2 linked regions of the Saccharomyces cerevisiae S288C genome follow. The gene in region 1 interacts genetically with each later gene. Each region holds a gene or a part of one and is shown in the gene's direction. Other genes may lie near its edges.

Evidence for each region. A genetic interaction does not mean that the proteins touch.
Region 2: of NTH2 (region 1) and MAL11, changing one enhances a phenotype caused by changing the other (phenotypic enhancement), as found in Saccharomyces cerevisiae (one study listed by BioGRID).

Annotation. Positions count from the first base shown.
Region 1 is NC_001134.8:238,423-243,218, reverse strand, and holds NTH2 (alpha,alpha-trehalase NTH2), read left to right. Parts: upstream 1-1,935; coding exon 1,936-4,278; downstream 4,279-4,796. Other genes in the region: COQ1 (trans-hexaprenyltranstransferase), read right to left, coding at 1-410; RER2 (ditrans,polycis-polyprenyl diphosphate synthase), read left to right, coding at 651-1,511.
Region 2 is NC_001139.9:1,073,463-1,077,668, reverse strand, and holds MAL11 (alpha-glucoside permease), read left to right. Parts: upstream 1-1,855; coding exon 1,856-3,706; downstream 3,707-4,206. Other genes in the region: alpha-glucosidase MAL12, read right to left, coding at 1-1,070. UniProt on the Saccharomyces cerevisiae protein: High-affinity uptake of alpha-glucosides such as maltose, turanose, isomaltose, alpha-methylglucoside, maltotriose, palatinose, trehalose, melezitose and glucose. Acts with the concomitant transport of protons into the cell (symport system).

The DNA of each region.
Region 1 (4,796 bases):
CTACTTGCAGGACGTTGAAATAGTTGATTTTGACTAGGTTTAGAGTAAATTGGGTCCTCAGGAACATCCGACTTGTCAATTTTCAAGTGATTTCTTTCTGTCATGGGAATTTCAGAAAGTGCTCTTGACAACAACAACACTAACAAGGGACGTACTTTTTTGCCTTCTGTTTCAAAATAGTAACTAGTAACCTTGTTTAGCACCGGATGGCCAGACCCGATGAGGGCAACTATATTTTTGGCCAATGTGTTCATCTCCTTCGAGACTAATGATATGGGATTATTCCAAAGAATCTTGGGAGTTACCAACTTACTGGCAGCGTTTAAAGCAACTGCAAAGGAGGATTTAAAGCGGCATCTTCGAGATGAAATCAATTTGATGTGATGAGCAGCGCCAGACCTTTGAAACATCGTCCCACTGTACTCAATTCGGACTGAATGGCACACTTCTTGTGTTGTAGAAAATCTCTATAGATTATAATGTGTCTTACTTTAATCTTCTAATCCCCTAACCCTGTTACCCTCGCTCGGGCTTTTTCCGAAGATGCCAACAAAATGCTTAGAATGAAAAAAAAAAAAATTTTCGTAATAATGACAGGTTTCAATAGAACTTAAGCAGTAAAAATAGGGTAAACACAGGTAAAAGACGGTATGGAAACGGATAGTGGTATACCTGGTCATTCATTTGTGTTAAAGTGGACAAAAAACATCTTTTCGCGCACATTGCGTGCATCTAACTGTGTACCTAGACATGTTGGGTTCATCATGGATGGGAACAGGAGATTCGCTAGAAAGAAAGAGATGGACGTAAAGGAGGGCCACGAGGCAGGATTTGTTAGTATGAGTAGAATCTTAGAACTGTGTTATGAAGCAGGAGTCGATACGGCTACCGTGTTTGCCTTTTCAATTGAAAATTTCAAGAGGAGCTCACGGGAAGTTGAATCACTGATGACTTTAGCGCGCGAAAGGATACGACAAATCACAGAACGTGGAGAGCTGGCCTGTAAGTATGGGGTACGCATTAAAATTATCGGCGATCTCTCTTTGTTGGATAAGTCTCTATTAGAAGATGTTCGGGTTGCTGTGGAAACTACAAAGAACAACAAAAGGGCCACGTTAAATATCTGCTTTCCATATACAGGCAGGGAAGAAATCTTGCATGCCATGAAAGAAACAATTGTTCAACATAAGAAGGGCGCCGCTATAGACGAAAGCACGTTAGAATCGCATCTCTACACGGCGGGGGTACCCCCTTTAGATTTATTGATTAGGACAAGTGGCGTTTCCAGATTAAGTGACTTTTTGATATGGCAGGCATCGAGTAAGGGCGTACGCATCGAATTGCTGGATTGTTTATGGCCAGAGTTTGGACCTATACGGATGGCATGGATTTTATTAAAATTTTCGTTTCACAAATCCTTTTTAAACAAAGAGTACAGATTAGAGGAAGGTGATTATGACGAGGAAACCAATGGGGACCCCATCGATTTGAAAGAAAAAAAGTTGAATTAAGAAAGGTCTGCATTTTTTTCCTACCACATGGCATAGATATTTATAGAGTAATGAGCAAGATAAATGAGTTCGCAAAAGAACATTCAAATAATTAGTAATAAATGAGTAGAAATTCACGCATCTTTATAGAGTTTATAATGCAAATCTCCGCGCGGGGTAATTTGAAGTCCAATTTTTCCGAGCGGCGTGCCAGTTCCACTAAATTATATAAAGCGGATAGGAATTGTAATTACCTCCCAAAGTTAATATTCGACTAATGTATATTTCATATGTTATAGCGCTTGTAGGAACTGTTTTCCATTAAAACTAATATTCTTTATTTCTCAATTTTATTTATTTATTTATATTTTTCCTTTGCAAATATATTTGACGCAGGTTCGGATCAGACATTTGGTATATAAGGAGACCTGCATATACTCAAATAATGGTAGATTTTTTACCAAAAGTAACGGAAATAAATCCTCCATCCGAAGGTAATGATGGTGAAGATAACATAAAGCCACTTTCAAGTGGTTCAGAGCAGCGGCCGTTGAAAGAAGAGGGGCAACAAGGTGGTAGAAGACATCACCGGCGGTTGTCCTCTATGCATGAGTATTTTGACCCGTTTTCCAACGCAGAGGTCTATTATGGACCAATAACAGATCCAAGAAAACAGTCAAAAATTCATAGACTAAATAGAACCAGAACTATGAGTGTTTTCAATAAAGTTTCTGACTTCAAAAACGGAATGAAGGATTATACCCTGAAAAGGAGGGGTTCTGAAGACGACAGCTTCCTCAGCAGCCAAGGTAACCGTAGATTTTATATTGATAATGTGGATCTCGCTTTAGATGAGCTGCTCGCTAGTGAGGACACAGACAAGAATCACCAAATTACCATAGAAGACACTGGGCCCAAAGTTATTAAAGTCGGGACGGCCAATTCCAACGGTTTCAAACATGTAAATGTTAGGGGAACATATATGCTTTCTAACTTGTTGCAGGAACTAACCATTGCAAAAAGTTTCGGACGACACCAAATATTTTTGGATGAGGCGCGTATAAATGAAAACCCTGTTGATAGATTATCAAGATTGATAACGACTCAATTTTGGACGAGTTTAACGAGAAGAGTTGATCTTTATAATATTGCAGAAATTGCTAGAGACTCAAAAATAGATACGCCAGGCGCTAAAAATCCAAGAATTTATGTTCCATATAACTGCCCAGAGCAGTACGAATTTTACATTCAGGCATCTCAAATGAACCCGTCCTTAAAACTTGAAGTGGAGTACTTACCAAAAGATATTACAGCAGAGTATGTTAAATCATTAAATGATACACCGGGTTTGTTAGCCCTGGCTATGGAAGAACACGTTAATCCATCTACTGGTGAAAGGTCCCTAGTTGGTTATCCTTATGCGGTACCTGGCGGTAGATTCAATGAATTGTATGGCTGGGATTCATATTTAATGGCACTGGGACTCATAGAAAGTAATAAGGTTGATGTTGCAAGAGGTATGGTGGAGCATTTTATATTCGAAATTGATCACTATAGTAAAATTTTGAATGCTAATAGGAGTTATTATCTTTGCAGATCTCAGCCACCATTCCTAACCGATATGGCTCTGCTCGTATTTGAAAAGATAGGAGGTAAGAATAATCCAAACGCTATTCAGTTGTTAAAACGCGCGTTCAGAGCTGCTATTAAAGAATATAAAGAGGTGTGGATGTCGAGCCCTAGGTTAGATTCTCTGACAGGGCTGTCTTGTTATCATTCTGATGGTATTGGTATCCCTCCGGAAACTGAACCAGATCATTTTGATACTATATTATTACCGTATGCTGAAAAGTACAATGTTACTCTGGAAAAGCTTAGGTACCTTTATAACGAAGGCATGATTAAAGAACCCAAACTGGATGCATTTTTTTTACATGATCGTGCCGTGAGAGAGTCAGGACATGACACGACTTATAGGTTTGAAGGTGTATGTGCATATTTAGCGACAATTGATCTAAACTCCTTGCTCTATAAATATGAGAAAGATATTGCTTTCGTCATTAAGGAGTATTTTGGTAATGAATATAAAGATGAGAATGATGGAACGGTAACCGATTCTGAACACTGGGAGGAGCTAGCTGAACTGAGGAAAACAAGGATTAATAAGTATATGTGGGACGAAGATTCAGGGTTTTTCTTCTATTATAACACGAAACTGAAATGCAGAACGTCTTATGAGTCTGCAACGACTTTTTGGAGTTTGTGGGCTGGTCTTGCAACTGAAGAGCAAGCAAAAATCACAGTAGAAAAAGCTCTTCCTCAGTTAGAAATGCTCGGCGGACTAGTTGCATGCACAGAAAAATCAAGAGGTCCTATTTCTATTGATAGACCGATCAGGCAATGGGATTATCCTTTTGGTTGGGCGCCGCACCAAATATTAGCCTGGAAAGGTTTATCTGCATATGGTTATCAACAAGTAGCTACAAGATTGGCTTATAGGTGGCTGTACATGATTACAAAATCATTTGTTGATTATAACGGAATGGTGGTAGAAAAATATGATGTGACAAGAGGGACTGATCCGCATCGCGTTGATGCGGAATATGGTAATCAAGGTGCTGATTTTAAGGGCGTCGCTACAGAAGGCTTTGGTTGGGTGAACACAAGTTATTTGCTCGGATTGAAATATATGAATAATCATGCAAGAAGGGCTCTCGCTGCTTGTAGTCCACCATTGCCATTTTTCAATAGTTTGAAACCCTCTGAGAAAAAATTGTATTACCTATAATATTGACGAACATATGTAAATAAGATATATGTTATATTCTTCTTTCTATCAATAACCATGAGATTGTGCCTCAGTAATATTTGAGACGATTTAGAGTAAGGTCAAATATTATTATTAATCAAGTTGTGTAAAGGCTCATTTGTGAAGGTTAGAATAGTAATCGATGATTTTCAAGTAAAAGTGTTTGAAGGGCATTTCAGTAACATCTTCAAACTAGGAGTTTGTTGAGACAAAAAAGTCTGATTTTCATAAGATCATAACTTACGCTTTGAAGATCGTTATGAGTACCTTGTAGCTTGCCAGATCTTCTTGCTTATTCTTAAGCTCTTGGGTAGTACTGTATAAGACTGCTTGACATCGGGAACACTATCATTACCGTGTGATAGAATTCTCGTACCAAGCCGGTTCACCTTTGCGTGGTCTAGTGCATAGGAAGAATGACTAATAGAAAGCTTTCATTTCTATTAGTGTCTTAAATGCGAAGAAGGTATGGGAATCTATTACATACATGAAGAATA
Region 2 (4,206 bases), on another chromosome or scaffold:
AATCTCGTAATTGACCGGGCTTGATCGTGATTCTCGATGTAGGTGGTAGCCCAACTATCAGTACCGTTAATGAACAAAAAGTTCGATGCAATGGCTTCTTTCCATTGTTTCAAGGTGAAGGGCACTATGTTATAACGGAAAAATGGCGAGGTACCAACTTCAACGTGCGTGAAGGAGAAAACTTCGCTGACTTCGTATCTAGCTGCACTGGTGTATAAAGCATTATCACTTCCATGGGCAACTTCACCGACTGTCATTATTTCTCTACCATCTTTCACCCTGTTTTTCATAAATCTGTGTAGTTCTTGATGATATTCATGAATCCTAGGACCATTGTGAGACCCCCAATTTGGATGTTGTAATTTCGAGGTTTTGTCAAAAATTGGGGAATCTGGTAAACCAGGACGTTTCGAATACAAACCAGCGGTATCGATTCTAAAACCATCTACACCATGGTCCAGCCAAAATCCAACAGCACTTTCAAAGATTGCCCTTCTGCAGTCTTCATTCTCCCAATTCAAGTCAACTTGACGACTCGCAAACAAACGGAGGTAAAATTCATTTGTAGTTTCATCAAAAGTCCAAGCTGAACCACCAAAGAAAGATTTCCAATTGTTTGGAGGAATTGGCTTGCCTTCGGCGTCATAACCCTTAGGAGGTCTCCAGAAGAACCAGTCACGCTTCGGATTGGTCTTCGAGGATCTGCTCTCTTTGAACCATTCGTGTTCTGTAGAACAGTGGTTGATAACCAAATCGGTGATGAATTTCATACCCAGCTTATGAGTCTTGTCAATTAGCTCAAAACAGTCCTCATTGGTACCATATGTGGGCCAGACCTTTTCGTAGTTGGATATATCATACCCCATATCTTGTTGAGGAGAGTCATAAAACGGACAAACCCAAATAGCATCAACGCCAAGATCTTTAATATACTGCAACTTGGAAGTGATACCTTTTAAATCACCCCAGCCATCGTTATTGGAGTCTTTAAAACTTGCTGGGTAAATTTGATAGATTGTGGCCTCTTTCCACCACTTTGGTTCTGTTTCTGGATGATCAGAAATAGTCATTTATGTAATTTAGTTACGCTTGACTGATGTACATTTGAGATTATCAAAAAAACTGCTTAAGAGATGGATGATTTAATTTTTTAGAGACGTATTAATGGAACTTTTTATACCTTGCCCAGAGCGCCTCAAGAAAATGATGCTGCAAGAAGAATTGAGGAAGGAACTATTCATCTTACGTTGTTTGTATCATCCCACGATCCAAATCATGTTACCTACGTTAGGTACGCTAGGAACTAAAAAAAGAAAAGAAAAGTATGCGTTATCACTCTTCGAGCCAATTCTTAATTGTGTGGGGTCCGCGAAAATTTCCGGATAAATCCTGTAAACTTTAACTTAAACCCCGTGTTTAGCGAAATTTTCAACGAAGCGCGCAATAAGGAGAAATATTATCTAAAAGCGAGAGTTTAAGCGAGTTGCAAGAATCTCTACGGTACAGATGCAACTTACTATAGCCAAGGTCTATTCGTATTACTATGGCAGCGAAAGGAGCTTTAAGGTTTTAATTACCCCATAGCCATAGATTCTACTCGGTCTATCTATCATGTAACACTCCGTTGATGCGTACTAGAAAATGACAACGTACCGGGCTTGAGGGACATACAGAGACAATTACAGTAATCAAGAGTGTACCCAACTTTAACGAACTCAGTAAAAAATAAGGAATGTCGACATCTTAATTTTTTATATAAAGCGGTTTGGTATTGATTGTTTGAAGAATTTTCGGGTTGGTGTTTCTTTCTGATGCTACATAGAAGAACATCAAACAACTAAAAAAATAGTATAATATGAAAAATATCATTTCATTGGTAAGCAAGAAGAAGGCTGCCTCAAAAAATGAGGATAAAAACATTTCTGAGTCTTCAAGAGATATTGTAAACCAACAGGAGGTTTTCAATACTGAAGATTTTGAAGAAGGGAAAAAGGATAGTGCCTTTGAGCTAGACCACTTAGAGTTCACCACCAATTCAGCCCAGTTAGGAGATTCTGACGAAGATAACGAGAATGTGATTAATGAGATGAACGCTACTGATGATGCAAATGAAGCTAACAGCGAGGAAAAAAGCATGACTTTGAAGCAGGCGTTGCTAAAATATCCAAAAGCAGCCCTGTGGTCCATATTAGTGTCTACTACCCTGGTTATGGAAGGTTATGATACCGCACTACTGAGCGCACTGTATGCCCTGCCAGTTTTTCAGAGAAAATTCGGTACTTTGAACGGGGAGGGTTCTTACGAAATTACTTCCCAATGGCAGATTGGTTTAAACATGTGTGTCCTTTGTGGTGAGATGATTGGTTTGCAAATCACGACTTATATGGTTGAATTTATGGGGAATCGTTATACGATGATTACAGCACTTGGTTTGTTAACTGCTTATATCTTTATCCTCTACTACTGTAAAAGTTTAGCTATGATTGCTGTGGGACAAATTCTCTCAGCTATACCATGGGGTTGTTTCCAAAGTTTGGCTGTTACTTATGCTTCGGAAGTTTGCCCTTTAGCATTAAGATATTACATGACCAGTTACTCCAACATTTGTTGGTTATTTGGTCAAATCTTCGCCTCTGGTATTATGAAAAACTCACAAGAGAATTTAGGGAACTCCGACTTGGGCTATAAATTGCCATTTGCTTTACAATGGATTTGGCCTGCTCCTTTAATGATCGGTATCTTTTTCGCTCCTGAGTCGCCCTGGTGGTTGGTGAGAAAGGATAGGGTCGCTGAGGCAAGAAAATCTTTAAGCAGAATTTTGAGTGGTAAAGGCGCCGAGAAGGACATTCAAGTTGATCTTACTTTAAAGCAGATTGAATTGACTATTGAAAAAGAAAGACTTTTAGCATCTAAATCAGGATCATTCTTTAATTGTTTCAAGGGAGTTAATGGAAGAAGAACGAGACTTGCATGTTTAACTTGGGTAGCTCAAAATAGTAGCGGTGCCGTTTTACTTGGTTACTCGACATATTTTTTTGAAAGAGCAGGTATGGCCACCGACAAGGCGTTTACTTTTTCTCTAATTCAGTACTGTCTTGGGTTAGCGGGTACACTTTGCTCCTGGGTAATATCTGGCCGTGTTGGTAGATGGACAATACTGACCTATGGTCTTGCATTTCAAATGGTCTGCTTATTTATTATTGGTGGAATGGGTTTTGGTTCTGGAAGCAGCGCTAGTAATGGTGCCGGTGGTTTATTGCTGGCTTTATCATTCTTTTACAATGCTGGTATCGGTGCAGTTGTTTACTGTATCGTTGCTGAAATTCCATCAGCGGAGTTGAGAACTAAGACTATAGTGCTGGCCCGTATTTGCTACAATCTCATGGCCGTTATTAACGCTATATTAACGCCCTATATGCTAAACGTGAGCGATTGGAACTGGGGTGCCAAAACTGGTCTATACTGGGGTGGTTTCACAGCAGTCACTTTAGCTTGGGTCATCATCGATCTGCCTGAGACAACTGGTAGAACCTTCAGTGAAATTAATGAACTTTTCAACCAAGGGGTTCCTGCCAGAAAATTTGCATCTACTGTGGTTGATCCATTCGGAAAGGGAAAAACTCAACATGATTCGCTAGCTGATGAGAGTATCAGTCAGTCCTCAAGCATAAAACAGCGAGAATTAAATGCAGCTGATAAATGTTAAGTAAAAGGGTTGTTTTTTTTTTTTTGGAAGAAATAAGGAATCCCTTTGACTGCTCCCAAAACCCTCAGCTAGCTCGAGATTTTATATATATACATTTTTTATTTTTCTGTAAAACATTCATATTTACCATTTTTTAAGCAAAATATTGTTAGTAGTTAGTTAAAATAGCCCAAGCAGCAATCAAGCAAATATGAGAGTACTTTTTCTTTAGCACCTGGTACTTGTGCCTGGATATTGATTCGAACAACATGCCAGGTCAACCGTATTCTCAATTAACTGTTACTTTAAATGTCCATACACTTAATAAAAAGAAGGAGAGAATCACGCAAAAATCACATTAAACTATATTATAATGTTTTATGAAGTATTTTTGAAGCATTAATGTGAGAGCTTATAGAGATACGACATTCATAATTCAATGCTTTATTGGGATATACTATGCATATTCTATATGGTTCATGAAATATCTCAAAACATATCACATAGTTTCACAATCGCTT